Linked DNA regions of Drosophila melanogaster. The protein of the gene in region 1 binds, or shares a complex with, the protein of each later gene. Each region holds a gene or a part of one and is shown in the gene's direction. Other genes may lie near its edges. The genes, in order: trp and Cam.

Region 1 (15,796 bases):
GGGTTGATGAAGCGTTGTCCGTTTATGAACTGACATCCAGGCTGCTGTGTCCCATGCTCACTCTATATTCCCTCACCGGGGATTCCCTCTACATGGACAAGGCCATCCATATTGCCGATAAGATCCTGCCTGCCTTCGACACGCCAACTGGTATACCCAGACGACTAGTGGTCCCAAAAGAAGGCAGCACCCTCACGAAGTACCTAAGTGATATCTCTCGCACTTCTGAATTTGGCTCTCTGCACCTGGAGTTCTACTATCTCAGTGAAGTCTCTGGATATCCGGTGTACAGGGAGCGAGTGGATGCTATCCGCGAGATATTAGCTAAAACAACCAGGCCCAATGGCCTTTATCCCAATGCCTATTGCACAAAATTTGGTAAGTGGGAAAATTACAACTGCTCCATGCACCGACTTTATGATACCCTGCTAAAGTCATGGATTCAGTCCGGGAGAACTGATACTCAAAATGCTGATACCTTCAAAGAAGCCATGCTAGCTGTGGCTCAAAATCTGGTTGTCATCAATCCCGAGGACGTGACCTACGTGTCCACGTTCAGGAATGGCACTCTTTTCCATCGTATGAGGCACTCCGATTGCTTTGCCGGCGGGCTTTTTGTCCTGGGAGCAGCAGAAACCCAAATGAAGCACTGGGAAAAGTATGCCCATATTGGCATAGGCCTCACAGATACTTGTCACGACAGCTACTGGAGTTCTCCCACTCGGTTGGGTCCGGATACGTTTGCCTTCACGGAGGAAAGCCAGCAGGAAATAGAGCCGCTCCAGAGGAACTATTACAATTTACGGCCGGAAGTCGCGGAAACTTACTTGGTTCTGTGGCGCATAACCCATCATCCACAGTACCGCTTGTGGGGATTGGAGATGGTGCAGGCGATAGAGAAGTACTGCCGAATGCCCTACGGATATACTGGAGTGATGGACGTTAACAACGTTACTTCGGAACCGGATGACGTGCAGGGGTCCTTCTTCTTGGGCTCCACTCTGAAGTATTTGTATCTGCTCTTCTCCGACGACGACGTGGTTTCGCTGGAGCAGTGGGTCTTCAACAGTGCAGGCCATTTCCTGCCCATTAAGGGCGTGAACCCAATGTATCGTCAGCATAACTCATCGAACTAAACATTAGCCAATTACCAAAATAGTTAGCATCTATTTAAAGTTTAACTTTTAATGCAGACATGTATAAAAAACTTGTGTGATCTAATACTTTCACAATGAATTACAAAACCTAATTTCTAATTAGCTGGGAGCACACACATTGAGCACACCTAAAAGCACATACACACATAAATGTCAAATGTCGAACATTGGCCCGCTAAACCATCGCTGGCATCCGCCCTAGAGCTCTAGAGCTGGCTGTTGGCCAGGTGGTTGTCGATGACCCGCTGGATGATCATCAAGCAGTGGCGCTGCCTGGCCACCGTGTTGTCGATCAGCTGTTCCGTGAACTGACTGGCCGCAATGTTCGTGTTGGGCGGTATATCCTGCGTGCAGGATATGTACCTGTTGAAGATCTCCGTGTTCAGCGACGTGGCCAGATACCGCTCGCTCTCGTCCTGCTGCTGCAGCTTGTCCAGCTCCTGGGCGGCCAGCAACAGCTGATCCTTGGCCTTCTGATATGATTGCAGCTCCTGCAGGCTGGCATACTCGGCGCTGCTCAGTTTCACGGACCTGCCGCCGTCTTTCGTCATCTGGCGAATGTGGTACTTGCGCTCGGCCACAAAATTACCGAGCAAGTATCCTGCGAAACCACGACACACAAGAGTGACTCATTAGGCGCTGTCCTGTGAATGCACTCACCTGTTATCAGCATGAAGAAGCCAATCGTTAGCACCAGGGAGGCACAGGTGCGCTTGGAAACGTACTCGCGGAACTCCCGAGAGCTGTTGGCCCGCACCGCCGTCTCGTAGCTGAGTACCTGGTGCATCCTGATGACCTGGTCCCCTTGGGGATTATAATCTGTGGGGCCTGCTTGGCCTAGTCACGTCGAGACACTCGGATGTGTCCTTCAGAACTGGGTGGGAACATGGTGCTATCGGTGGTATCTAGTGCCTAAAGCATGGAATTTGTAATTAAACATTAGAAACTGTATCTGTGAGTTACAGCTGTAAGTTTCTTAATTACTTCGATATGTTCAAGGATTTAAGAGCGCGGAACTTGGAATGATATAACACCTCTTGGTATGTCATGTCAGGATTTAATGTTCTCCTTTCACATTTTTAGTTTGAGCACTAAAACCGCAGTGTCAATGCCCCGAGTTCCTGTTCTGGCGATGCCGCTGATACGGAGGAGCGTGACTTAATCGCCCCACCTTAAAAGGCAATCGCGAAGCCCGTTGTTATGGGCATCGCACACGGCAAACAGCGCGGTCCTTTAAACGCTTCGTCGAACACTTTTCACTCACTCGCTTTATAGGATATCGTCGGCTTGGCTCGACTCTTGTGCTGCCAGGATGGGGTACATATGCATTAAATTAATTAATGACTGCACTTTTGTGTTGCACTGCCCGAAGGAAGTGGGCTACAAGTGTGGGAATGTCCTTTGCGAAGGGAGCGCGCTCAACTTTTAATTGTATTATTTATGCTTTATTTACTCGTCGCGTTCGCTCGGATCCTTGCGCGTTATCCTTGCGAGCGGTCTGAATGCCCGGACGCCCAGTCGGGAACTGACTCACGCTTCGTTGGGGGTCGGCTTTAATAGCTCTCCGTTCTCCGTTTTCCGTTCCGTGTGGTGAGTTTCCTGCCCCGATATGTTGCACATTTCAGCGTGGCACTACGTCGGCGGAAGGACGGTCAAGGGGAAGCTCGGAGAATGCAAACAAAGGCATTCCCAGTAGCTTCCTAATGAGGAATGGGTCCGCCATTTCGCCCACTCCGCCCGAGGCGTTCCTCAGAAACTATATCGGATTTCAAGCCATCGCCTCACTTTGAGTGATACTGCTGCTCCGTAGTTCCGAAAGTGGACCTCCCTTTTGATTGCCATAATCGTATTTTCTTTTCTGCTTCACTATTCCCTGCAATACTTCAAGGATATCACATGACCCTCGATTGCCATTTCTGTTCCTTGGGGTTCTTTGAAGTCCCCCCCATGACACCTTGCTTGCACATTTTCACTTGTTGTGCTGTGACATATATTACTGGGAATTTATGCATAAACTCAACCATTGCATACAATTTGAATATATATTTTGAGGTACGATTATAAACTTTTGCTTTTCTGAACTTGAAGTACATAATCCCATAACGCACTCTATTACTAAGTTAATCCATTGGGTGGCATAAATTAAAATAATTTATTGCACGATAAGCTTGTACACTTCTATATGTGCATCGATAGTGACTTCATTGGTCTATATAAAAGTGTGAGACCAACAGGAGATTTTAGTATACAAAATGAAGGCTTGCGTACCCATATTGGCAGCCCTTTTTGGATCAGGGAGCAGACTGGCATTTACTATTAACCATGGTTAATAATTCTTTATGATTTAATAAAATTAAATGAATTAAATTGCTTGAACTTGTATCCACTCAGAATTGATTGAAGCACTCAAAACACTCTTATTCCCTTTGCTAACACTTCATTCATACTGCCAAACACTCGTCTTGAGTATCTGCTAGTATAAATCAAACTTTTTCGTTGATAAAAGTGCTGCGAGATAAGATTTCGCACTTTGAATTAGCATCGATAGTGATTATGGCTAAGCTATATAGTATTGGGACCACCATGGGAGCCTTTTAGTCTTTCAATATGAGGGGTCTTACACTCTTGTCGCTCGCCTTCCTTGGGGTCTGTAGTGCCCTAACTGTGCCCCATTCGCTGGTCCATCCACGCGATCTGGAGATTCGTCATGGAGGGATTGAGGGTCGTATTACCAACGGAAACCTGGCGTCCGAGGGTCAGGTTCCCTACATCGTGGGTGTGAGCTTGAACAGCAACGGAAACTGGTGGTGGTGCGGCGGATCCATAATCGGACACACTTGGGTGCTCACTGCTGCCCACTGTACCGCTGGGTGAGTTATTTGATTTCACAAATAATTAACGCTCTTTGATAAATCATCGTATTGCAGTGCTGATGAGGCTTCACTGTACTATGGTGCCGTCAACTACAACGAACCTGCCTTCCGCCACACAGTGAGCAGCGAGAACTTCATCAGATATCCCCACTACGTTGGACTCGATCATGATTTGGCCCTGATCAAGACTCCCCATGTGGACTTCTACAGCCTGGTCAACAAAATAGAGCTTCCCAGCCTGGATGACCGATACAACTCTTACGAAAACAATTGGGTTCAGGCCGCCGGATGGGGTGCCATTTACGATGGCAGCAATGTGGTGGAGGATCTGCGAGTGGTGGATCTGAAAGTGATCTCCGTGGCGGAGTGCCAGGCTTACTACGGAACTGATACCGCCTCCGAGAACACCATCTGTGTGGAAACTCCGGACGGAAAGGCCACCTGCCAGGGTGATTCTGGTGGTCCTCTGGTCACAAAGGAGGGTGATAAGCTTATCGGAATCACTTCCTTCGTCTCCGCTTACGGATGCCAGGTTGGAGGACCGGCTGGCTTCACTAGGGTCACCAAGTACCTGGAATGGATAAAGGAGGAGACTGGAATCTATTATTAAAAAAAAACTTTACTAATTTCAAAGCAAAAAGGTGCTTAAACAAGTTTTAAATAAATGAAGAACATATGCTGTTATATTTTGTGTATTATTAATTTCTTGGAAGATAGTGGCATATTCATGTTTAGAGATAAAATTACCAATAATACATAATCAATACATTACATATTACATAATACATACCATTTAATACATTACCTATGTAATATTAACCTATTAGTGTTTTATTTTTTGATAATCTAAAAATCAACTTGTTGAGAACAAAAACTGTACAATGTGCCGTATGAGTAATATTTTATCACACTTTTTTTTGAAATTGGTAGTAAATACTTTCAATAAACATTATTCAGAATTTAAATTTCTTAAAGATCATAAAATACTTTACTCCTCATTTGGGTAATCTGAGTATATAATATATTTTAGGTGAAGTGAATGTCCTTACATGATACTATCATACTGAAGAGTAAGTTGCAAATAAGGCACATGTCATTCCACTTCAAATTTAGGCCATAATTTACAAAAAAAAAAAATCACCTGTAGTGGACTTATCAGTCGACGATGGCTCGCGATGATAACTTGATTAAAATTTACTGCCCTCCCATTTTACATACGTGTGGAAGGAAGGGCTCTTGGTCGAGATAAGACTACGGACCACTTCTGTATATAAAGGCGCTTCGACATCGGAACACCATTGAGTTGCAAGACTTGACCAAGATGAAACTGTTCGTATTCCTGGCCTTGGCCGTGGCCGCAGCTACTGCTGTGCCCGCTCCCGCCCAGAAGCTGACCCCGACGCCCATCAAGGACATTCAGGGTCGCATCACCAACGGCTACCCAGCCTACGAGGGCAAGGTGCCCTACATCGTGGGTCTGCTCTTCAGCGGCAACGGAAACTGGTGGTGCGGTGGCTCGATCATCGGCAACACCTGGGTCCTGACCGCCGCCCACTGCACCAACGGAGCCAGTGGAGTGACCATCAACTACGGAGCCAGCATCCGCACCCAGCCCCAGTACACCCACTGGGTGGGCAGTGGCGACATCATCCAGCACCACCACTACAACAGCGGCAACCTGCACAACGACATCTCCCTGATCCGTACCCCGCACGTCGACTTCTGGAGCCTGGTCAACAAGGTTGAGCTGCCCAGCTACAACGACCGCTACCAGGACTACGCCGGATGGTGGGCCGTGGCCTCCGGATGGGGCGGCACCTACGATGGCAGCCCACTGCCCGACTGGCTCCAGTCCGTCGATGTCCAGATCATTTCCCAAAGTGATTGCAGCCGCACCTGGTCTCTCCACGACAACATGATCTGCATCAACACTGACGGAGGCAAGTCCACCTGCGGAGGCGACTCTGGTGGCCCCCTGGTTACACACGACGGCAACCGCCTGGTCGGAGTGACCTCCTTCGGATCCGCCGCTGGCTGCCAGTCTGGTGCTCCCGCCGTCTTCAGCCGCGTCACCGGATACCTGGACTGGATCCGCGACAACACCGGCATCTCCTACTAAGCAGTTGATGTTCAATAAACGATTATAGCAAAAATGAAAAATTCGACCAAACTATTTATTCAGTTGTAGATTGAGGGGCACATTATTGAGAGCTAAATATTTATATATTCTATTATGTACATTAAATGTACATATATTATAAAACTAAAAGTAATCTCATATTTTCCTTAAATGTTTTTAAAACGAGATTGTTTAACTTATTTTTATATCCTATTTTTATATTCTATCCATATGATAGCTGTTGAACGCTAGTAGCGACTATAGGGTATTCCTATATTTAAAACTGTTTAAGCTAGGAAAGTCCACTTGCAGCTATTTATAATAACATAAATTTATATTATGTTTATGCACTTTAATTATGTTGCAAATATAACAAGTCCAATATTCTACATACACCATTTTCAATCCAGTTTGCTTTTTATATACATAATATACATAATAATTATAAACAATACATAATAATAATACATAATAATAAGACGTATGATCCATATATATATATTTGCATATAGTCCGATGGTTCGTCATTATGTGTTCCTAAAGCTTGATTTTTTCCGATACATAAATCGGAAATCGGAATAAGTTTATTTCCGTTTGCAGTTTAATATATTTCCCTTCACTTGGAAATATTTTATTGATTTCATTACTTAAGCAAGAAGACATCTGAATCCCATCCCAAAAACAGAACTTGAGTTGCTTGCTATAATCGTTTATTGAAGAAACCCCTCAGAATTAAGGAACATCAACTGCTTAGTAGGAGATGCCGGTGTTGTCGCGGATCCAGTCCAGGTATCCGGTGACGCGGCTGAAGACGGCGGGAGCACCAGACTGGCAGCCAGCGGCGGATCCGAAGGAAGTCACTCCGACCAGGCGGTTGCCGTCGTGTGTAACCAGGGGGCCACCAGAGTCGCCTCCGCAGGTGGACTTGCCTCCGTCAGTGTTGATGCAGATCATGTTGTCGTGGAGAGACCAGGTGCGGCTGCAATCACTTTGGGAAATGATCTGGACATCGACGGACTGGAGCCAGTCGGGCAGTGGGCTGCCATCGTAGGTGCCGCCCCATCCGGAGGCCACGGCCCACCATCCGGCGTAGTCCTGGTAGCGGTCGTTGTAGCTGGGCAGCTCAACCTTGTTGACCAGGCTCCAGAAGTCGACGTGCGGGGTACGGATCAGGGAGATGTCGTTGTGCAGGTTGCCGCTGTTGTAGTGGTGGTGCTGGATGATGTCGCCACTGCCCACCCAGTGGGTGTACTGGGGCTGGGTGCGGATGCTGGCTCCGTAGTTGATGGTCACTCCACTGGCTCCGTTGGTGCAGTGAGCGGCGGTCAGGACCCAGGTGTTGCCGATGATCGAGCCACCGCACCACCAGTTTCCGTTGCCGCTGAAGAGCAGACCCACGATGTAAGGCACCTTGCCCTCGTAGGCTGGGTAGCCGTTGGTGATGCGACCCTGAATGTCCTTGATGGGCGTCGGGGTCAGCTTCTGGGCGGGAGCGGGCACAGCAGTAGCTGCGGCCACGGCCAAGGCCAGGAATACGAACAGTTTCATCTTGGTCAAGTCTTGCAACTCAATGGTGTTCCGATGTCGAAGCGCCTTTATATACAGAAGAAGTCCCTTGTCTTATCTTGACCAAGTGTCAAACTACCCATATGTTGAGCTGGAGGGCAGTAAATTAATGTCATCCAGATTACATAGGAGCAAAAAGACAAAAAATAAACAACGCAGAGGCTTGTACAGCAATATAAAAAACGTAAACTTATCAGTGTTCAATGATTTGCGAATCAGTTAAAAATACAATAAATTTAATGTTAAATACTACTCATCGGATGCAATTCATAAAATCATTTTCTACGTGGGTACATTCAATTTGTTTAAACACATAAGTATCTTATCGGTGCCATAAAGCAAATCAGCATTGATACTATAGATTTTTACGATCATGTTGAGGGCTTAGAGATATAATTTTAATACAGATGGCCATAAAATGAATTTTATCCCGCAATCTTGACGGTTTCCGGTGGGGAGACAGTGAAAGTGCAACCTGCTACGCAAACCCAGGGAAAATGAGCTCTTTCGCTTTTCTCGTGGAGAACTGAGCACATAACTCACAAGGGTCCTTAAAAGCTAAATAAGGCAGGAGTTTTGTTGGAGGCCAATGAATCATTGAGTGCAACCCAGTTGTACACTGCAGAAAATCATGTATAAACCCAACATAGCATTTAGTTAATGGGAACTTATAAGAAGAATGTGCATTTAGCCACATTTGTGTAATGAGGAGTACCTTTATATAATTACGAGAATGCCATCCAGGTATTTTCAGCTATGGCCTCTAATTAATTCGCACTTAATGAGTTCCCCTCGACAGCTGTGACTTTAATTTTGAAATTCCTTGGGCCACCATCACTTCCTTCCTCTTCTCTTGGAAGCCATGCGAGTGGAGTGTGGAGTGCATTGGCCCCGCTAAAAACCCCGTACGACTTGAACACGTACGATGCCATTCCGCCCGGAGCTCCATTGAACCCCACCTTTCGAACACACACATTCATCTCAAAGGGCTGCTCCGTGAAAGTGGGCTTGTTCCTTTTCCTTTTCTCCGCCTTTAGCCAGGAGCTGGCATTTAGTTCCAAGTGCATTGACACACAAAAGCCCTGCGAGCGCCCTGAAGTAAGCAACATTCAACATTCAAGGCTCAAGACGCTCGGCTGCCAAGGACGAGTTGGGTCTTAGATGTACACCACCCCACCTCCCCCTCCCACTTCCCATGCAGATTAATCAATATTCATCAATCACAAAGTCAGAATCACTGACCCAGTGCCCAAAAGGCATTCGAAATCATTTCAATTCGGTAGATACTCGACTGTAAACTGCAGGTGTGGTGTGTTTTCCGGCTCTGTTGGTTAGCCAAAAGCTTAAAAGCTTGCATTTTCTCCTATTTTTAAGGGCTTTTCTCGGTGAATAGTTCTAGGATATGAACCCAAGTCCATGAATCCCTATTTACTCGCAAATTAACACCCTCATGCTACTTTTTGAATATTAAGTAGCTTTGAATTTCGGCTTGAATAGGTGTCAAAAAGTATGCAAAGTGCGTATTTTTTTTTTGGGCATTGATCTATATTGCTGGGTACAAAATATTAGACACCTATTTAATTTCATATCTCAACTGTATGCATCATTTCATCGAAATATAAGCAGATAATATTGTTCCATTTAGCACGTTTTGTTTTTCACTTACATATAAACCCACTGGGCAGTATTGATTTGGATTTTCAGGCATAAAAGTGGTGCGATTCCGTTGCTGGGGCTTCGAAAATCGAAAGTCGCTCATCACGTGCAATGCAACCACAAATGGACGAAAGATTCCTGAACTGAAATCGCTAAAATCGGTTGCTGCCTCCAAATGCAGCCCCACAATTACCGAAGTGCGGTCAAATGGGCCCATTGACTCGGGGTTCGCCCACACATTGACCGAGTTTTAGCCACATTGGGCACTAATGTAATTAGTGGAATATAGCGACCCGTGGCTGCCACTTTTCAGCAGTGCAACGCGGCTAATTGGAGGCGGAACATCGCCACGATGGAACACTAAAGGATACAGTGCGCGAAAGGATTACGCCAAGGCTCCCCGAGGAGCAGGGATAAATGCCCATAGTGTTTGTGAGATGTGAAGTGACCGAGTGATCCGATCCTGATAATCGCGTTCGCATAGACCAGTAAATCAGTGCAGATATGGGCAGCAATACGGAATCCGATGCCGAGAAGGCGTTGGGGTCTCGCCTGGATTACGACCTGATGATGGCCGAGGAGTACATCCTCAGCGATGTGGAGAAGAATTTCATATTGTCCTGCGAGCGGGGTGACTTGCCAGGTGTCAAGAAGTGAGGCTTCCTCCCTATGGCTTCGAGTAACTCGGCTAATATGATTTCGTCCTTGAAGGATCCTCGAGGAGTACCAGGGCACGGACAAGTTCAACATTAACTGCACGGATCCCATGAACCGCTCCGCCCTCATTTCGGCCATCGAGAACGAGAACTTCGACCTGATGGTGATCCTGCTGGAGCATAACATCGAGGTGGGCGACGCCCTGTTGCACGCCATCTCGGAGGAGTATGTGGAGGCGGTGGAGGAGCTGCTGCAGTGGGAGGAGACCAACCACAAGGAGGGCCAGCCATACGTAGGTCACATCCTGCCGCAGAATATGCCACAACTCTTACTCTTTTCCCCTCCTTTGGCAGAGCTGGGAGGCGGTGGACCGCTCCAAGTCCACCTTCACCGTGGACATCACGCCCCTTATCCTGGCCGCCCACCGAAATAACTACGAGATACTCAAAATCCTCCTGGATCGCGGGGCCACGCTGCCCATGCCGCACGACGTCAAGTGAGTGGGGTGGTGTAGGGATGCAGTTGCTCGGTGATATGGCTATGTAGTGAGCTTCCTCGTCCTTCGAGCGGCACGTTCCATTGTTTGTCCAATTGGCAACACACTTATGTAGCACATCGCTGGGTGCCTCTAATTTTAGATAATTGCGGGCAAATTAGGGTGAAATATTAATACAGGGTGTAATGTTGTGTGTGGGAAGAGCAGGTCCTTGAATGTTCTTAAATTGGGTCAATGGACTCAAGCCTTTAACAGCGTCATAAATGTCCTTGCTAGGAGAGAAGGTCCTTTGTACTCCTTTCAGATTGATTTAAATGTATTTATTATTATAGAACTCTTGGGTTCCGTACACTTTGTATATCATCGCTTAATCTCAATTGTTTCTAGGTGCGGCTGCGATGAGTGTGTGACCTCCCAGATGACGGACTCCCTGCGCCACTCGCAGTCGAGGATCAACGCATACCGCGCCCTGTCCGCCAGCTCGCTGATAGCGCTCAGCTCCCGGGACCCTGTACTGACCGCCTTCCAATTGTCCTGGGAACTCAAGCGCCTGCAGGCGATGGAATCGGAGTTTCGTGCCGAATACACGGTACGGTAGTAGTGTGCAATGTAAGCGGTGGCCAGTGTGCCACTAGAGTCTATGCGAATGCGAATGCGAGCCTTTGTTTGTGTTTGCCCAACAGGAGATGCGTCAGATGGTGCAGGACTTCGGGACCTCGCTCCTGGATCACGCACGCACATCCATGGAACTCGAGGTGATGCTCAACTTCAACCACGAGCCGTCCCACGACATCTGGTGCCTTGGCCAGCGGCAAACCCTGGAACGACTGAAGCTGGCCATTCGCTATAAGCAAAAAACGGTGGGTTCGGACTAATCCGTGCACATTAAGGAACTGTGAAGGTTACAAGCTTGTGGCTAGATACCCATGCCTAATCCACCACAGACCAACTGGGATTTAATAGCTTTATATATAGAAACGGATCTTAGTACCCTGCTTGAATTTATAAACATTACTCCCCCTTCTAGTTTGTGGCACATCCAAATGTCCAACAATTGTTGGCCGCCATTTGGTACGACGGACTGCCGGGCTTCCGGCGCAAGCAGGCCTCCCAGCAGCTGATGGATGTCGTGAAGCTGGGATGCAGCTTCCCCATCTACAGCTTGAAGTACATCCTGGCCCCGGATTCCGAGGGTGCCAAGTTCATGCGCAAGCCCTTTGTCAAGTTCATCACGCACTCCTGCTCCTACATGTTCTTCCTGAGTGGGTAAAGTGGGTGCTTAACACTTCATCCATCTAAATATGCGCCCATTCACAGTGCTCCTGGGTGCTGCCTCCCTGAGGGTGGTGCAAATCACCTTTGAACTCCTCGCATTTCCCTGGATGCTGACCATGCTGGAGGATTGGCGCAAACACGAGAGAGGTTCACTACCGGGTCCCATTGAACTGGCAATCATTACCTACATAATGGCTCTAATATTTGAGGAACTGAAATCTTTATATTCGGACGGCTTGTTTGAGTACATCATGGATCTTTGGAACATAGTGGACTACATATCGAACATGTTCTATGTGACGTGGATTCTTTGTAGGGCCACCGCTTGGGTAATCGTCCATGTGAGTCCATATGAATCTAATGAATAAATTGGAGTTACTGAAACGAATTGATTTCAGCGTGATCTCTGGTTCCGGGGCATAGATCCTTACTTCCCAAGGGAACACTGGCATCCGTTTGATCCAATGCTTCTATCAGAGGGCGCCTTTGCTGCCGGAATGGTCTTCTCCTATCTAAAGCTCGTCCACATCTTCTCCATTAATCCCCACCTGGGACCCTTGCAAGTTTCACTGGGTCGCATGATAATCGACATCATCAAGTTCTTCTTCATCTACACACTGGTGTTGTTTGCCTTCGGATGTGGTCTCAACCAGTTGCTATGGTACTACGCTGAGCTGGAGAAGAACAAGTGCTATCACCTGCATCCCGATGTGGCTGACTTTGATGACCAGGAGAAGGCTTGTACCATCTGGCGAAGATTTTCCAAGTATATTACATTCATTTCTATGTACTTTATCATATTGGCATCCCATTTCAATTTACTTTAGCTTATTCGAAACATCACAATCGCTCTTTTGGGCCTCTTTTGGCCTGGTGGACCTGGTCTCCTTCGATCTGGCGGGAATCAAGAGCTTCACCCGCTTCTGGGCACTGCTAATGTTCGGCTCCTATTCGGTTATCAACATCATTGTGCTTCTCAACATGCTGATTGCCATGATGTCCAACTCCTACCAAATCATCTCGGAGCGAGCCGACACTGAGTGGAAGTTCGCCCGATCCCAGCTGTGGATGAGCTACTTCGAGGATGGCGGCACCATTCCACCGCCCTTCAACCTCTGTCCCAACATGAAGATGTTGAGGAAGACCCTGGGCCGAAAGCGACCGTCACGAACCAAGAGCTTCATGGTAAGTTACACTCAGAGAAATTCAATATTTCAGTTTAAGTATTATACAAATCCACACATATATATTAAATTCAGTGTACTCTACTTTTAAATGATATTTCTTATCATATTACTTTTAAATGTAAGTAACATTTCGAAAGTTCGATTTTTTCAAGTTGAATCACCTCACAGTGAGAGGCGGCTCACAATCAATACAAATCTTAAGCGAAATCATTTTCAATCAAGCCCATGCAGAGCTATCTGTGCGTCAAATTGACGTCTAATACATCCTTTCTGTGTCCTTCCACCCTCTAATGCTCCCTGTTCCAACTCCCAGCGAAAGTCCATGGAACGGGCACAGACGCTGCATGACAAAGTGATGAAGCTGCTGGTCAGGAGGTACATTACGGCGGAGCAGAGGCGGCGGGACGATTACGGCATTACCGAGGATGATATCATTGAGGTGCGCCAGGACATCAGCTCCTTGCGGTTCGAGTTGCTGGAGATTTTCACCAACAATAACTGGGATGTACCCGACATTGAGAAGAAGTCGCAGGGTAAGGGAAGCCTACCCACATCCAAATTGGCAACTTACACGTGTCTTAAGATAGAAGTAGCAGTATATATGAATAATTATTTACAATTAGCTTTTGAATACCTAATAAAGTTCACCCCATCTTGAATATTAATTTGAAATATGTTGTGCTAGAAGACTACAAAGCTAGAATGGATTTTAATGGATTTTATTCACTAAACTTACTTTTGAAGGAGTTGCTCGAACCACCAAGGGCAAGGTGATGGAACGTCGCATCCTTAAGGACTTCCAAATCGGCTTCGTCGAGAATCTGAAGCAGGAAATGAGCGAATCTGAGAGCGGACGAGATATATTCTCATCGCTGGCCAAGGTCATCGGCAGAAAGAAGACCCAGAAGGGGTAGGTCCACTTAAATCTGTAAGACGCTTTGAATAATGGTTATTATTCTCAACAGAGACAAGGATTGGAACGCCATTGCGAGGAAGAATACTTTCGCCTCCGATCCCATTGGCTCCAAGCGCTCCTCCATGCAACGTCATAGCCAGCGAAGCTTGAGGAGGAAGATCATCGAGCAGGCGAATGAGGGTCTTCAGATGAACCAGACCCAGTTGATTGGTAAATTAATAAAGATGTGCCCAATGTATGTATATTTCCATACCCTTGATCTCCTCCAGAATTCAATCCCAACTTGGGTGATGTGACGCGTGCCACAAGAGTGGCTTATGTCAAGTTCATGCGGAAGAAGATGGCTGCCGACGAGGTTTCCTTGGCCGATGACGAGGGTGCTCCAAATGGCGAAGGCGAAAAGAAGCCACTGGATGCCTCTGGGGTACGTTCCAATCAATATATGTATATGTATTCCCTGGCTAATATATAATCTCACTTGCAGTCTAAAAAGTCCATAACTAGTGGTGGAACTGGAGGAGGAGCTTCTATGTTGGCTGCAGCTGCTCTAAGAGCATCGGTTAAGAATGTGGATGAAAAATCCGGAGCCGATGGCAAGCCCGGCACGATGGGCAAGCCAACGGATGACAAGAAAGCAGGTGATGATAAGGATAAGCAGCAGCCTCCCAAGGACTCCAAGCCGTCAGCAGGTGGTCCCAAGCCCGGGGATCAGAAGCCAACTCCGGGTGCGGGAGCTCCAAAGCCCCAAGCAGCTGGCACTATCAGCAAGCCCGGTGAGTCACAAAAGAAGGACGCTCCGGCACCACCAACCAAACCTGGAGACACCAAGCCTGCTGCGCCGAAGCCTGGAGAATCCGCCAAGCCCGAGGCCGCTGCCAAAAAGGAGGAGTCTTCCAAGACCGAAGCTAGCAAGCCGGCAGCCACAAATGGAGCAGCCAAGAGCGCAGCTCCCTCCGCTCCTTCGGATGCCAAGCCGGATTCCAAACTGAAACCTGGAGCAGCTGGAGCACCAGAAGCAACTAAGGCAACCAATGGGGCCTCCAAGCCGGACGAAAAGAAGAGCGGTCCGGAGGAGCCAAAAAAGGCTGCAGGAGACTCCAAGCCAGGAGACGATGCCAAGGACAAGGATAAGAAACCCGGCGACGATAAGGACAAGAAACCTGGCGACGACAAAGACAAGAAACCTGCTGACAATAATGATAAGAAGCCAGCCGATGACAAGGACAAGAAGCCGGGAGACGATAAGGACAAGAAGCCGGGTGACGACAAGGACAAGAAGCCGAGCGATGATAAGGACAAGAAGCCTGCCGATGACAAGGACAAGAAGCCAGCAGCAGCTCCTCTGAAGCCGGCGATCAAGGTGGGTCAGAGCAGTGCCGCAGCTGGCGGAGAACGAGGCAAATCCACGGTCACAGGACGCATGATCTCCGGCTGGCTCTAAGCCGCGGAATCCACTTTCATAGCAATTAAATAGTTAAGTCCTTTGTTTGTGTGAATAATAAAAAAAAAGAATCTCAAGTACCACGTTTCTGCAACTTGTTGCTAAAGGCCACCTGTTGCCAGCAACATCTCATTTGCATCGCAGCAACATTCATCATCCGCCCCGTTGTTCCGATGGCAATTTGTTTGTCTGCCATCCATCCGCCTGCTTTTCTGGCCTATAAAAGAACGTGAACTTCGACCAGAGGAATCAGAAGAACCGTGACCGTTCCGAGGATAACATCAGACCGAAAAACATATTCGCCAAGCCAGTGTTTCGTCCTAAATAGTCTTGCAAATATGAAATCTATGTTGGTCCACATAGTTCTAGTGATTTTCATAATCGCCGAATTCAGTACAGCTGGTGAGTGGTGGAAACATTACAAAATCGCTTTTAAGGAAATCTTAAACAACA
Region 2 (15,391 bases), on another chromosome or scaffold:
ACACTTTGTTAGCCAAGTTAACTCTTTGCAGGTTCTGAACGACAGTTTGTTCTGTCGCTCGCTTCACAGTTCAGAACATTCAAATTACAGAGAAGGTTGGCAAGTCAAACCAAACGGAAGCAAAAGCCAAAAGTTCTCGGGGCAACTTGAGTGCAAGTTGCTCCATAAAATGTGCCAAACATTACCAACTCAAAATACATGCCAGACTGCCTCGGAACAGATCCAAAAACTACAGTCCAAAAGTGTAACTGCCAAACGGAAACAAGACAGGGAAAAACCCAAAAAAAAGACAGAGAAATTACCAAAAAAAAACACCAAGAAAGCCATGAAAAATTCAGAGGAAAGTTGTCCAGGTGGGCGACAGGATTCAATGGGGCGAGAACTGGGCTGGGTGCCACTTCATTTGCCAGTGCGAGCGCTTCCTTTGGTCCTCGCTCAGGTGACAAAACCAGGTGCCCGGCCAAATGGATCCTGCGCGGCAACTGAATGCCTTCCGAGCACAATCGAGTTGTGGGAAAAGGAAACTATAACTGTACTGTACTCCGAGGCATAATAATCCTGTCCGTGGCTATAATTTACCCGGAAAAGCGCCTTCATACGAATGCTTTAATTCGTTAAGTCGCTCTTAATGAGAAGCCAATAGTGAAAGTATAACTTTGAAAAAATATTATAAGATGTTCTCGTTAAGTTTCAAGGTTTCTAAGAACTAAAAATCTAAATCTGTTTATAAACACTGCTCTTATAATCCCATCTCAAACTACCACAACCTAACACGAATCTAGATCTATTTTCTTTAAAGCGAAACTACCGCAAACTAAATTCGTATTTTATCGTGAAAATACCAAGCCATCCTGCTCAAAGGAAGACCAGACCCAGGGGCATATCTTTAGCTTCCGCTGGTACGAGACCCAACAACCTGACCTTCCCGATGGCAGCCCGAGCATTATAATAACACTTTCTCAAAAAGGTTCTTTATGGGGTTTCCACCCCATTCCATTCCATTCCCCATCCCCACCATTCCCTAGCCACGAACCACCACCCACCATTAAGCACAGTTAGTTAGTCGTTTCTTGTTTCTCGTTTCCCTTTCCTTGAGTCCATTGTTCCGCGGTATCTCCGCTGTTCTCGCCTCTCCCTCTCTGTCGCCCACTTCTGCGCGACGACTATGGCCAAAAGTAATCTTCCAAGGCAAATGTGAACCACAAACAAATTTATAGCTGCAATGCGGCCAGGCCGAGCATAACGGGCCCACATTTCTGTGAAATCTATGTGAGAGCAGATGTGCAGAGGGGATGGAAATGGAGAAATAGAACTCAAAAGGAAACTGTCGAGTGAGGACGACTATAAAAATATACAACAATACTGCCAAGGCAACGGGACATAATGAGCCAGGGCCAGACGGCCCGAAACGGTAAATGGTAAGCGGTAAGTCTCTAATCGGTTAACGGTAAAGCCGAGCTCAGCTGAGCGAATGTGGGCCACCAGCAGGAGAGCGAACCATTTTGGCTTTGGATTTTTGCTTTTGCCCTGCACCTCCTTTGCAGTACCGTTAGCGTTTTTCTGCGTTCGTGCTTTGCATGGCCATTTGTTACGTATACGTGTGCGCAAGACTCTCGTTCTCTCTGCAGACTTGCCTTATTTGGCTGCATACTGTAGGGCGCTCTCCCGTTACTCCTGAATTTCAAATTTCGATGCATAACTTGAGGCGCTCGCTCTCTCTTTCTGAATCTCTCTCTCTCTCTTGTTATGTCCCTTTTTACTTTACACGTTTTGCTGCACACTTTGAAAGCACATTCTCTCTTCTTGCTCTCTCTGCTTGTTTATGCGTCATTTCTTTTGGCTTTTTCTCACACATCTCTCTTTTTGCAAAGGCAACAACAAATATTATGTCTTGCTCAATTTTATTTTTCTTCCCTTTCATCTTGCCCTTCCTTTTTTTAGTTGGTTCGCATTGCAGCATTTTATTTGCTAGCTCATTTATGCAATTACTACTGCCTTTAGTTATAACATATTATATATTTATTCATTTTAAGAAAAAGTACTGACCCTTATTATATTATTACTTCGTCTAAGTAACTAAAATTTATTTAAAATTAAATTAGGTAGGATGTGCTGAGACTCCACTGTACTAGTGAATCCGATTTTTGGCAGATTGCAGCGAAGGGCTCCCAGATTACATTCACTCTGTGGCTCCCCCTTTCATGCCAGTTTCATTAGGTAGATTTTCCACCTGAGTGAGGAACATTTCACCACCACCACCAACCCCACCCACCAACATTGTTCTGCATTCACAAGTTCGTTTCATGCTCTTATGGTTTTCTTTTTTCCCAGCAAGCCCCTCTGCAGCGCATTTTCCCTCGTTTGCTTTGCTGCAGCAGCTTTCATTCATGCCACGTCAGTTGACATAATGCGACATGGCCACACACAAGCAACAAGCCACCCACCGAAGGCGAGCGCCCACCGCCCCCTAGAAAACCGCCCCACACTCTTCATTGTCGACTACTGCACTTGGCAAAAGTTTCTACCAGTCATTGCCATGAAAGTGCCATTCAAATTTACCGCCCCTCGCCACGCCCCCTTCTTCAGTTGCTCCTTGATCGAAAGGGTTTCTATTTGGTATATATTCTTTGGCTTTGCAACCAGGCAACACGGTCAACATAGCAAGCCATGTTTGTTTATCCCCAAAAACAATAACAAACTCGGCTCAGAATTCAAAAAGACCTCGACACAAGCATAGCCAGAAAATCGGAAAAACATAAATTATAGAAAAAACAAAAGAAGCATAGAAGTTAAGAATATTCAAACAAGTGAAATACGCTCAAGAACATTTAATGGAAAAAAAAGCTTCACTTTCCAGGTTGCGGCAGATTAATTGCACCTATCTGCTTTAACTTCGTGATTTCGTTAATAATAAATAGAAAATTCCTGTTGTATCCGAGAGTCGTTTAAATTAATACATTTTAAAAGAACCCGGCACACAATTATATCGCAAAAAGGAAATTTTGTAAAGTTATTAATGTCTGTGTAAACGAAAATCTTTCAATGAGGATTTTATATATGCGCCAGGATCCGTAAAGCTGCTAAGTAAAAATGGGTTAGTATAAAATGAATGTTTTAAGACAAAACCAGTCATATCCTTTTTCCTTCCAGATACCACCGCCGAACGTCAGGTGAGACTGGAAGGAGTGGAACGTGTGCTCAAGATGTCCCAGGAGCGCATCAAGATAGCGATGATCATACCGAAGCTGCTGGAGAATCCCGAGAAGTTGAAGAGCGTCCTGAAGGACACCTGCTATGAGGAGGTTCTCGAGCCCATCGATGACATGATCCGCCACCTTGGCAAGCAGAGTGGACGTTCCAAGCTGCCACATGACCACACCACCATGCGAATCGTGGACTTCTTCCTGGTCAACCATAGCATTCATCGATTCTTTCCGCACTTGAAGAAGAACCTAAACGAAAGGGATCGCCAATTGCTGGCCGCCTTTCACTTTCTCCTGGAGAGCGCCCACGTCCATCTGCACCGATCCTCGCGTAGCGAGATTACCAAGGAGCGAAAGCTCCATGCCATCTTTCATCAGAATGTGGACATCAAGAAGAAAATCAAGGAACTGAAGGCGAGCCTGGCCTTCCAGAAGGTGATTGGCAAATGGAAGACGGCCGCCAAGGGCATCTATCTGATGAAGGTCGAGGAGGATCTGGCCAATAAGAAGTGGCAGAACAACGTGGCCATTCAGAACGAAATGTAACTCGGATTTCTAGTTCTAGAAATTCTTATTTGAATATATTTACAAATTACAGTGAAAAGTGCCATCGCACGATGCGAAGCTACCACAAGAGCAGCATGGACAGGCAGAAGGAATTGGAGGAGGAGCTGCAGAATGCCCGGGAGAGCTACGAGAAGATGACCAAGAAGCATCTGGCCGAAGAGCACGAGCTGCGAAGCGAAAAGTAAGCTACAAATCGAGTAATTTATTATTTAAGTGCTCTCAATCCTTTATAGAAACAAATTGCTCCTGCAACTGCAGAGTATGCTTAAGAAGTACGATACCAGCCTGGGCGAAAAGATGCGTGAGAATTTGGTGGCGGAGGATCAGTATCTGGCTGCCAAGAAGGTCCTCGACGATTTTATGGTCCAGTACAGGCAGGAGGAGCGCATCTACAAGAACATCGTGGTCAAGCGAGAGGAGGAGGAACGTCGCGTGCAGCAGGAGAAGCTGGTCATCTTCATGATGAACCGGGCGGCGGGCAAGATTCAAAAATACTGGCGCAAGTGGAAGAAGGATCAGCGCAAGAGGAAGCGCCAGGGAAAGGGCAAGGGCAAGAAGGGAAAGTAGTGTCCCAAACCGGATCTCTGTATATTTCTACATTGTACAATTTATATGTAGAAATACGAATATATTCCAACCTTCTACTACTACTAACGTGTATATATGTATCCTGTTTTCTCATTATTTTTTAAAACTGTCACATGCTAAAAAGTTATGTTTGCTTGAGCTCATTTGTTGTTTGCAAGCTTTTGTGGCATGAAAATCACTAAGCATGCATAAGTACCCATGTATGCAAATTAATATTTCCATAAGAGAAAAGGCAAATGTTTACTCGCAATTAAATCGTGTTTACTTGGCACTTGACAACACACAGAAATTTTCTGGAATTTCTTATATATTCTAGAGTAAAGAAATGATTATTTCCTTTATTCAGCAAGGCTAACCAATTTTATTAAATATTTTTCTATTGAACTGCGATAAATTTCGCCTAAGACATTGTCAACGCGGTTTTTTCTATGGGGTCAGAGGGCGAAATGTGTGGCTTCCCTGCGATTGCGAAAATCCAAGAGAGAATGAAAACGCCTGGCAGAATGTTTACCCAACACGCACACACACACACACACACACACATACAGCGATGGAGGGAAAAGCCAAATTTTCATGTCTTGCGGGGCGAACGAAAAATGGCGCATTGCTGTCGTCGCCAAGCGACAACGACTACGACAACGACAACTACAAACGCTCTTTTGGCCCGATGTTTGCTGCATTGTTACTTCATTTTCATTCTCGTTTTCGTTACCTAGCCATCGCTATTGCCACACCATCACCCACCACCCACCGCCCAACGCCCAGCTCACACCGCACCACCAACCCTTGTGGCATGTCTAATTTTCCAGAGGTTAACATACTTAACTTGTTGGCATGCGTTGCAAATGCGCCAAGGCTGCGTTGCACCAAGCGGCGCCACATTGCGACAATTCGCTGCGGCAAAGGAAATCGTACGGCAGCTGGAAAATGGGCAAAATCGCCGTCCAATGGTGTCCAGTGGCCAACTGTCCAATGGGCAATGTGAAATCCCAGTGGAATGGTCAAACGTTCCGCATTGTAATTGCACACACACACGCATTCGCTGGTTTGCCGATTTGTGGACATTATCTTTAGCACAAATAACAAATGTATTATATGTGAATGATTCCATTTTCTAGGGATTAAGCTAATGTAAATTAAAACATCATTTTCGAGAGCTAAATAAAAATGCTGTTTTAAATATCAGGCATAGATAAGGCAACGTTGCGTATGCGTAATTTTCCATAGGCAACTATGCGTATGAGTAATTTAAAATGATTTTGGCGGATCAGGAATTTGTTTGGTATTTTTTTTTTCAATTATAGGGTTAACAATTCATTTAACTGATTGATAAATAGTTTAATTAGTATAATTACAGCCTAAAATAACTATTCATTTCTAATTCTTATTTTGGCAAGCACTAAAATTTCTTATTCATACAAAATATTTATAATATACACCACTGCATTCACTATACAAATTGAAAGTTTTGATAAGCTCGAAAAGAATTCAAGGGAGTAAATTTGTTGACTTTTTGCCGATTGAGTCATAAAATCCCAGCTAATTCATAGCACTCTTCCACAATTTTCATATTTATTCCATAAGCATTTGAAAACCTCTTATAAGCGTGGTTTTAAAAATATACATATGTTTTTATACTCACATCAGTAATTCGTTTGTAACAAAGTCTACAATTCGGCCAAATTCAAACTCTACGTGATCAGAGTCCAATTCCAAAGTCACCGCCATGGCCAAACGCGATATCCTGCCCATCTTTCCATCCCGCGCCAATTCGGTGATCATGAAGCAGCGCGTTTTGGCGGCTAGAAGGGGCGTGGGTCTCCTCAAGCGGAAGCGGGACGCCATCGATATGAAGCTACGCGAATTGCGTCGCATCCGCTTCGACCAGGACATGCACGGCGATGAGGCGATGCGCAATGCCATATTCTCGATGGCAAAGGCCAATCTTCTGGGCGCCGATTTCAAGCCGCAGATGGTAAGCCGCAGCCACGTGGCAACCGTATCGCTACGCCGCACGGAGATCAAAATTGTGGGCGTCAAGCTGAACACCCTGGAGCTGGAGACGAAGGGCGTGGGCGCTTTTCCGCTGGCTGGTCTCAGCTGTGGCGGTATGCAAGTGAGCCGAATCAGGGACTCCTATACGAAGGCACTCAAGGCACTGGTGGAGTTCGCCTCTCTGGAATACCAAGTGCGAATGCTGGAGGCAGCCTCGTTGCAGACCAACATGAGGGTCAATGCTCTGGAGCATGTGGTAATTATAATTAATTCATATGATCCATATGTTATCATGGATAATCTTCAATAAATATCACTTTGTATCCGCAAGGTAATACCCATCCTGCAAAATACCTATAACTATATATGCGGCGAGTTGGAGGAGTTCGAGCGCGAGGATTTCTATCGCCTGAAACGCTCCCAGGCGAAGCAGCTGGAGGCCAAGATGGCCTTCACCGAGCTGATCAAGACCAAGAACATGACCGACGAGGAGCTGGAGACCTACATAAAGCGAAACATAAATCAGACGCGTCCTCCAGCGGCCGACACACCCTTCGATCAGGAGCAGTTCGAGGAGCGTGAGGTGAAGCGGCGCATGCGGGAGGCCCGTCTGTCCCTAAAGCAGCGCCGCGAGCAGGAGAGAAAGGAGGCCATCAAGCGGGGCGAGCCCCCACCGCCCACATCCTTCATCACCACCCACGGAGCCTCGTTGAGTTTCGCTGGTCGCCAGCGGGATCCGCGAGCCAGCAGTGGTGATCTGTACAGCACCAAGCGGATGCTCCTCTCCTCCGGACCGGAAAGGAAGTCCGCCAGTAATGTGACCGAAAGGAAGTCCGATACTCCTCCGCGTAATAGCCAGGAAACTCAGCGCAGATCCAGCCAGATGTCGAAAGATGTCGTAAATGAAGATCCACCCGAAGAAAGTTAGTTAATCGGACTCACAAATCCAAAATCTAAAGTTGTCCAAAAATTCTTAATTATTTTTAATATGGTGTGCAAATAGAAGATTTATTTTAGGTGATCACTTCGAAAAAGTATAGCAATTTCAGTCGAAAATCGAAAAATATATGGAAAAATTTACCGTCATTGTTATTAATAACGTATACGTATGTAATTTCTGTCTGCTGTATAATATACATGTGTATGTGTGTATGTTAATTCCCCATCATATGCAATGGCAAATGCTATATGTTTGCAACAGCTGACTTTACAGTTCGTTTTTTTTTAACATCGAATGTTAGTTTAACATTTACGTTAACATTTATCCGTTAAGAATAAAATTTGCAACATTTTGAAGTATATTTTTGTCAATTAAAATTTGAACTTAAAAATCGAAGAACTGTTTACATAAACATAAATCACAACCGGTAATTAGAATAAACGGACAATAAAAAAGACATTTGTTTATATAGATGTACATATGTGAGTACATACATAGTTGATTCATTTTTTTCTATTACTGCAAGGGCAAACCTATGCATAAGTTTATTTTTGCAGAAGCTAGCTTCCTATTATTTATAACTTTAGTTACCTGTAGTATGTTGATACAATTTTTGTACACACCTATTTTCGCGAAAAGCGCCGGCGCGACCGTTACAACGGCGAAATCAAACTTATTTTCGCTTTACGAAGGTGAGTGGATAAGCAACAGAAACAAACACATGCAGACGCTGCCGCTGCAAAAGCGAACTTACCCGGTTCGTTCTCGCGAGAGCGAGAGCGGTTATTGCTATTGCTGCTGGCAAAATAAAACCGTATATATGGCGACGCAGCGCTATTTTGAACACAAAGTTTTGAGTCGTCGACCGTTGCGGACGGAAATTCAGATTAGGATCGTGAGTTGTCAGAACAAACAGACCAGACATTGCATATAGAGAGCAGTATTGGGCCAACAAAAAAAAAAAAAAAATACAAAAAAAGCGAAAAGAGCCCACACCCAAGCACCAGGAGCTGCGAACGTTTCGCGGAAAAGCCAATTTCTCAGCGCCAGCCAAAAATCAAGAAAACCAACGAGCAAAAAATTAAACAAATATCTTTATAAAAACCGAATTCGAGCAACTCTTATATGTATTAGCTCTCCCCGCCATATATCTACTATATAAACGAGAATTCTGCCGTGTGCGCGCGTGTGTTTGGCATATTTCGCACAATAGATGAAAAAAAAAACGAATGAAAGCCACAAAAAAATAAAGAAGAAACGCAAGGCGAAAATTTGTATTAAATTCGGCTGAAGCAACAACACTAAAGAAATTTCAGAAACTGCCACGGCGAGAAAAAAAAGCGTCGGCGTCGGTGCTTTGGACGGACGCTTTTCTTTCTCTCCAAGCTGGCAGTAGTTTTTCTCCTCAGCCTCTTCCACCTCCAGTTGACCCCCCGAAAGTAATACCCAACAAACCTCTTCTTGCTTCTTTTGCAGTGTGTTAATTTAGTAAAATATAAAGTTAACCGCGCGTTCCGTAATTCCACTCACACACATACCAACACCCAAGCAGCAGCAGTAGCCGCAGCGGATTAAAACTTCGTCACTCTAGCAACAAACAGAAAAAAAAAACACCTACAAAAATGGTAAGTTTATGGGGCTGGAGAACATGTGCATCTTTATTTTCTGTTTACACAACCTGCGGCCATCATTTTCCATTGAAATTTCCACAGTTTTTGCGAAAAATCAAAGTCAGACAGCGACCCCCAGGGCTATTGCCATTAGTGCGAGCGGGAGGAGCGAATCGCTTCCAATTAGACGTTGTTTATATGGTTTTAACGGCTTTTCACACACACACACTCGCTACACACATCCCAGCACACCAAACACCCCGTCGAAAAGCAGCTGTCCCCGGGAAATTCGTTTACATTTTGCACCCCAAAAATATATCGCCTCACGGGTAGAAAAAACCAGTTTTTTCAACAACCCAATATCGTTGATTTAGAAACAAGAAATTGCGAACACCATGCAACCCCTTGAAAATATGGTAGTTTATACCCCTTTCACAATGAAACATAATCAAAATCCATAAAACTGCATTGAGAAAAAGTGAATGCAATCATTTGAAATTAAGTTTATACTTAAACTAGTATATTTAAGCTGCAAGATTTTCATGTTCTTAACCTGACTTAATCAAATGTTCAACTTTGGCCCCTAGGGTCACAGAAAACAAGCAGCACAATTAAATAGCAATGCCAATAGCAAGAATTTACACACATGTCACGTCACTCGTCAAAATTATTATTTATTTTATCAAGGCTGTCGCACACGGAATGTTGACGCGATCGGGTTCGCCCTATAATAATTCCATGACGTTCGGGTAGAAATACCCCTGGAAACCCAATCAGGCGTGGAAAAGTGGAAACTCTTATCAGCATCTCGAGCAACACCTCATTTTCGAAGCCCCCCTGCTTGCCCAACCCACCACCACCATTTGGGATCATAAATCAATGTGATTTTAGCCAATTTGTTGAGCATTTATGCACACACACACTCGCATTCCTACATAGACGCGTTGCCATCGGCACTTTTATCAGCAATTTTTCAAAGATCCCCGCAAATAATAGAAAAGCGCCCTCCATTTTGCTTATCAGTGGAAAATGTGTGAATATATATTGATGATGAACAACAAAGTCGCCGGTCCCGGCATTATTGGCCTCTCCTCTTTGCCCCGCCGTTCGTTGTTCGCTTGTTCTTTGCTTTCTGGTTGTATTTTTTATTTACCGCACACTTGGCCGCAAAAATTGAGGTTAGACACGGCCCCATGGAAATGGTGAAAAAATTCTTTAGAGGCATTTCTCCTGCTCTTGCGCTCAGCTTAACCGTTTCGACGCTCTCTCGCATAACCGTTTCACACACTTTCTCGTCTCTCTCTATGTGCAATTATTTCGTTTGCGTTATCAGTTCCGTTTTGTGCTGCGTCTCTCTCTTTCCGTTTCTTTCAGCATTTCATTTTTTTTTGCGCCTTGCGCTTGTCACTTTTATCGGCGCCTGCCTTTTCTTGTTTTCTTCCATAACCGTTTCATTTGCCGCATTGCGGTTATTTTGCTGTTTCGCCTTCGCCTTGGTTCGTCCGCTTCGGTCGTTCATTCGTTCGGCTCCGCGTATTCGTATTCGTGTGCGTGTGAGTGAGCGTATGGGTGTGTGTGTTGGCGGCTGCCTGTTCCACTTTGCCTTTTCGCGCAAGAATTTTATTGTAACGGCACAGGCGAACGATGGGGGAGGAGGAGCGCTGCAAATGAAGAAAAATTCCTGCTAGACGCCGCCGCTTAACCACATAATCCAATTTTCTTGCCGCCCTCTTTGCGCTTTCTTCTCTCGTTCGTTTGCTTTCCTCTGCGCTTTTTGATAAGAAAGCCCCACGCCCACTGCGATGCCCACACCCGCGCCACACCTTCTTTCAGCCTCATCTGGTGTCGCCTAATTTAATTAGCGATTTTACAGCTCACGCAGAATGCAAACAGCTTTTAATTAAAATATATCGCATCGCTTTCTACGTGGCCAATTTGTTTCAGTGATTCAACCAACGCTGCTAACTTGGCCCAGAAGCAAACATTTGCCAAGGGTTTTACTGACTGATCTTCAAAGTTTGTTGATCTTTAGCTCGGCTAATTATGAGATACGTTTGTCTGTATATCTTATTTGTTTCCGTTGAAAATGAGCCAACATTCATATAAATTTCCATGAGTCACTGTGTTCCTGGGCTGACTTCATCATATGATCATATGGCCTATGATGAATGCCCGATGATATGTGTGTGTGTCATGTTAATAATGGCAAATGACTGGCTTATGGCTCAGTTAGCACAGTTGTTTGGATCCCGGTGCGAATGCACTTAAATTGTACCCAAAAACCAAGCTCTCAATCTAACCGTCATTCATAAAACCAAACTAAACTCCATGAAACCGGTTGAGACCGGCAAAAAAAAAAAAGCGTCGGCTATACAACGGTAAACCCGGCAAACTTGGCTTTAACATAAAGCCGCATAATTTCAGCCAAGACCTGTTTTAATGTTGTATTTAACTGTCAAACTCATTGGAAGAAATAGTTTTATTCAGCAGAACTCGTTTGTGAATTTATAAATGATTCAAGCCCAAGTGTATTAAAATTATTGTTATCAAAATGTATTCATAAGTATGAATAATATTTGATATCATATTATTTGCAAGTGAAAAGTGATGATCTTGAACTAACTACTATACAATGACCCATCCAATGAGTCACTACCTTAAAAAATGACGGACAAATCCCGATAAATATACGCACAGCTTGAGTCCTGATCCCCCAGGCATACATTTTCGGAAGGCACTGTATTTGCCTTGGATGTGGAAGCTTCCTCGGGACGTCGTGGGCGTCTGATTGTGCATACAAATGGATTACCAATTAGGCATTAGCCAGCCCCCCACTCGATTAACGACCTCGCCCGATTGACTGCCATTAATGGATATCATCGGTGGGTGGGGTTTTGCTCATGTTGTTGATTGCAAATGTCGCCATTTGAAGACAGGAGGGCTTCAATTTGCTTTTCAACAGATTGGGGATCTGCATTTCGATGGGTGTTTCTCATTCGGTTTCTGTTTCTGGCTTAGTCATGCTTGCCAATGACATAACCCAGTTGAAAAGCGTTTTATCTGCCCCAGAGTACGCCAAGATAAGCTGGGCAAATTCAATTGAACGCCAACGCGACAAAAAGTGCAAATAAAACAGGTGCCACCAACGCGTTGCCGTTACCAAATTTGCTTGTATTCGCTGTTTAAACTCACCGAAATTCCCCCGATTAGATAAGGTCAAGCAGGGCGCTATAATTCCAATGCCAATTGCTGATTTGGCTTAAAGCGAGTGGGTTTCTGTTCTGTTCCATTTTCCTTGCCGAACGGAAGTTGTCCATAAAGGCTGGTCAACACGACATGTCTGAGAGCCAAGTTTGTTGTGCCATTTTTCAGATTTGGGGTATCTTTTGGCCTTCAAGTTGAGGTGCCCAATTCGGTGGTAACCAAGGCGATTGATTAGATAGGGCGAATTGGTTCGTGCTAGGGAAATTCACATAAATTAACTTGGTTTTCAACAGTTCAGAGTAATAAGTATAGACTAGATTGGCAGTAGCTATTATTAAACGAAGCAAATTAAGTTGTTATTACATAGGATCGCTCAACAAACAACTCTATATATATAGTTTAGTATAGTTTCCATATAGCAGAGCTTTCAGCAGTTATCAGCTTGAACAAATATATATAAATATATAGTATAAGTCATCCTATGACGCAGGCGAAGTTTGCTTTTGCATTTTTGCTTCATGATTAATAACAATTATCGCAATTCAAACCGCAGGCCTTATATTATACTCGTTAAATTCTTTGGCTTATCGCCGTAGAGCGAGTTGCACAAATAAACAATCATTTTCGGCCGTAAAACAATAACAGTAACAGTAATAGGTAGACGGGAATTTAATGTGCCCGCTTTTTTGCTTTTGGTGCTGCAACATTAGACCCTGAGAATCGTTTTTGGCCAGAATGACCGACCGGCTCCTGTGAAACTGACAACTCGCACGTCTCTTGTCACATATATGTATGTATATATGTATGTGCATCATTCGCATGACAATAATAAATTTTGGTTTTGGGTAACGCAGCCATCTCCACTCCTCGGTTCTTTGGAGCTTCCCCCCTACGGGGTCTTTCTTGATTATTCAGTCGCCGCTGACGTCAGGTTTTGTTGATTCAGCGGAAACTTAACACCTTTTTCAAGACACCAGATATATATATATATATGTAGAAATATTATAAACATACCTAGATACAGATACAATTGTATCTGGACTTGCCTGGCGACGGGCGGGCAAACAATACGCAAAATTATTCAAATTAAACACAATTGTTCTCTCCCTTCTCGTCTTTTGTTATTCCCGATTGTGTTCACTTGGGTAGTTTTTTGTGTTGACATTGAAATTCCATCGAGATGCCGTTGAAAAGTAATTCACAAAACAAACCAGGTCGACGTTTAGTCCTATATCTATCAGTAAAATTTATTTTGTTAAGAATATAAAGTCGAAAGTTACACAACGTTTATCATAATGGTGTGTGTTCGATTCATTTTTGCTGCGTTTCATTCAATTAATGCTCTATTCATTTGTCCCTTTGCAGGCCGATCAGCTGACAGAGGAACAGATCGCCGAGTTCAAAGAGGCATTCTCGCTATTCGACAAAGACGGCGATGGCACCATCACAACAAAGGAGTTGGGCACAGTTATGCGCTCCCTGGGCCAGAATCCCACAGAGGCCGAGCTGCAGGACATGATCAACGAGGTTGATGCCGACGGTAAGTTGTGGAGGATTGTGGGGGGAAATACTCTATAAAGTGGGATAGCCTTTTGTGGGGGTAATGTACGTGATTGAAATCCTTCATTGGGGTGATGTAATAAATTTCAAGTCAGATTCACATTTCTCATGCCCTCTGAGCATTTAAAACTTACGAATTCGCGAAAGAGATTGCAAAATGCATACTAATCTGCAAATGTTAGCTAAAGGGTTCAAAAATCGTAAATAATCTGGTTTTGTATGCCTCGTAACTTCAGTATTTCAAACAAATTGTGAATTTGCCTTAATTTTCTGTGACCCACAACATCTAGACTATGAAGTCAGACTTCGTCAGAGCTTACGACCAATGTGCAAATGAGCTGATTTTCTATGCTATGCTGGCTATATATGAGAGCTGGCTAGAACCCCTTCTAACCCGATCCCGAGATGTCTAATTTTGTTTACCCCAATCTATTTGGTGTTCTGGGCCTAATCCCTCGCACTCGTTCCATTCCCCAACTACCTCTTTCGCAGACAGACATAGATCAGACCAACATTTGTACGACAAACAATGGGTGGAAAAAAAAAAAGAAAAGGAAAATCACTTCTTGGCTAAAAATATGCAACAAAAACACGTCATAGGCATTAAAAATAGATGACTAAAATATTTTGGCTCTTTCCCGTGTCTTGTCTTTGGCAGCCGCTGCTGTCAGATTTTTTTTCGTTGGTATTTCATTTTTTTTTTTTAATGTTTATTTTTGAGCAAAGGTGGTTGTTCGCTTAGCTCGAAATCTCGTACAAGTTTTAGTTTAACAAACTTTCTTGGGGAAACGAGGAAGATCCAATTTTATTTTCGATGCAAGAGGAAATCGAGCGACACACGCCTCGCGCCAAAAATGTGGCAAAATGCGAAAATTTGAATCGTAAAGGGGTTTTTCACCTTTTGCCACAAATAAATAGATTTTCCAATTAAGTAAGCAGGTTTGTGCTTTGCTGCTTTTGCTAAGGATAATACTTAGCAACTAAATCATAAGAACTCAGTGGCTGGCACAAAGTAACTTTTATGCTCATCATCACTTGTTCTTTCATAAGTTTTGCAAGTGTCCCCGCCCAATTTGTATTTGTTTTCTCGCTGCTGCTCCATTTTCTTTGCCAGCTTTTCTCGGCTGCCTGTTGTTGCTGCTGCTGCTGCTGTTGCGCTTGCACGTGGAAATTCTGTGCGCATGTTGTCGAAAATATCCAGGACACAATCTGCAAACTCGGAGTCCTGCACACAGAATTTTGAGCGCAGGCGCTGTGAAAAACCCCTGCATGATTTTTCTCTTTTTTTTTTTTTTTTTTGCTGGAGCTAAAGTGTTGCAATCATGGACAAGTGGGTGATGTGGGGTTTGGACAAACGAGGGGGTGGCGATGCGCATACTAACTGTTTATCAGGACTAAAAATAGTAGTTCGGTATGTGGGTGGGTGGCAAGGGGTCGCCACTTGGGAGTCCAGCATTTTTCGCCAACTTTATTTTGCTGGAATTTGCATATGTGCCAAACTTTTTACATTGAGTGCAAGCAAAATGTTTTTGCCAACTTTATTGTGCAACGTTTAATATTTAAAATTACTTGCGAAAATTGTTGCAACTCGAAAGTGGCACTTCCCACTGCCCACCACCCACTGCCGCCTGCTCCCAGCTGACTCCTCTAATTTACGATCCCACACAATGGAATGTATTTTGTGGCCATCCGAATCACCCACTCACATGGCCCACTCACGCTGG

What was found.
Region 2: the proteins of trp (region 1) and Cam are in contact, whole or in part, in a crystal structure (PDB 7CQV), measured with the Drosophila melanogaster proteins. Residues at the interface, in NP_476768.1 of Drosophila melanogaster: Gly804 (codon at 13,751), Lys805 (codon at 13,754), Met807 (codon at 13,760), Glu808 (codon at 13,763), Arg809 (codon at 13,766), Ile811 (codon at 13,772), Leu812 (codon at 13,775), Asp814 (codon at 13,781), Phe815 (codon at 13,784), Gln816 (codon at 13,787), Ile817 (codon at 13,790), Val820 (codon at 13,799), Glu821 (codon at 13,802), Lys824 (codon at 13,811); in NP_001246276.1 of Drosophila melanogaster: Glu12, Ala16, Leu19, Phe20, Lys22, Leu33, Val36, Met37, Ser39, Leu40, Gln42, Glu48, Asp51, Met52, Glu55, Val56, Ile64, Phe69, Met72, Met73, Lys76.

Annotation. Positions count from the first base shown.
Region 1 is NT_033777.3:29,914,143-29,929,938, reverse strand, and holds trp (transient receptor potential), read left to right. Parts: upstream 1-9,649; 5' UTR 9,650-9,875; coding exon 9,876-10,024; intron 10,025-10,082; coding exon 10,083-10,320; intron 10,321-10,381; coding exon 10,382-10,524; intron 10,525-10,911; coding exon 10,912-11,113; coding exon of another isoform or gene 11,114-11,122; exon of another isoform or gene 11,123-11,133; intron 11,134-11,207; coding exon 11,208-11,384; intron 11,385-11,551; coding exon 11,552-11,786; intron 11,787-11,841; coding exon 11,842-12,140; intron 12,141-12,197; coding exon 12,198-12,565; intron 12,566-12,626; coding exon 12,627-12,984; intron 12,985-13,299; coding exon 13,300-13,519; intron 13,520-13,730; coding exon 13,731-13,896; intron 13,897-13,951; coding exon 13,952-14,112; intron 14,113-14,171; coding exon 14,172-14,326; intron 14,327-14,386; coding exon 14,387-15,343; 3' UTR 15,344-15,418; downstream 15,419-15,796. Other genes in the region: alpha-Man-Ic (alpha-Mannosidase class I c), read left to right, coding at 1-1,136; CG15522 (uncharacterized protein), read right to left, coding at 1,364-1,758, 1,818-1,944; Jon99Ci (jonah 99Ci), read left to right, coding at 3,765-4,027, 4,085-4,640; Jon99Cii (jonah 99Cii), read left to right, coding at 5,352-6,149; Jon99Ciii (jonah 99Ciii), read right to left, coding at 6,900-7,697; Capa (capability), read left to right, coding at 15,682-15,745. UniProt on the Drosophila melanogaster protein: A light-sensitive calcium channel that is required for inositide-mediated Ca(2+) entry in the retina during phospholipase C (PLC)-mediated phototransduction.
Region 2 is NT_033778.4:12,251,271-12,266,661, forward strand, and holds the start of Cam (calmodulin), read left to right. Parts: upstream 1-8,127; 5' UTR 8,128-8,188; intron 8,189-8,761; exon of another isoform or gene 8,762-8,769; 5' UTR 8,770-8,915; coding exon 8,916-8,918; intron 8,919-9,005; exon of another isoform or gene 9,006-9,543; intron 9,544-13,273; exon of another isoform or gene 13,274-13,402; coding exon of another isoform or gene 13,403-13,405; intron 13,406-13,472; coding exon 13,473-13,647; intron 13,648-15,391. Other genes in the region: CG13168 (uncharacterized protein), read left to right, coding at 3,091-3,094, 3,151-3,745, 3,802-3,951, 4,004-4,337; Vha36-2 (vacuolar H[+] ATPase 36kD subunit 2), read left to right, coding at 6,085-6,609, 6,685-7,281. UniProt on the Drosophila melanogaster protein: Calmodulin mediates the control of a large number of enzymes, ion channels and other proteins by Ca(2+). Among the enzymes to be stimulated by the calmodulin-Ca(2+) complex are a number of protein kinases and phosphatases.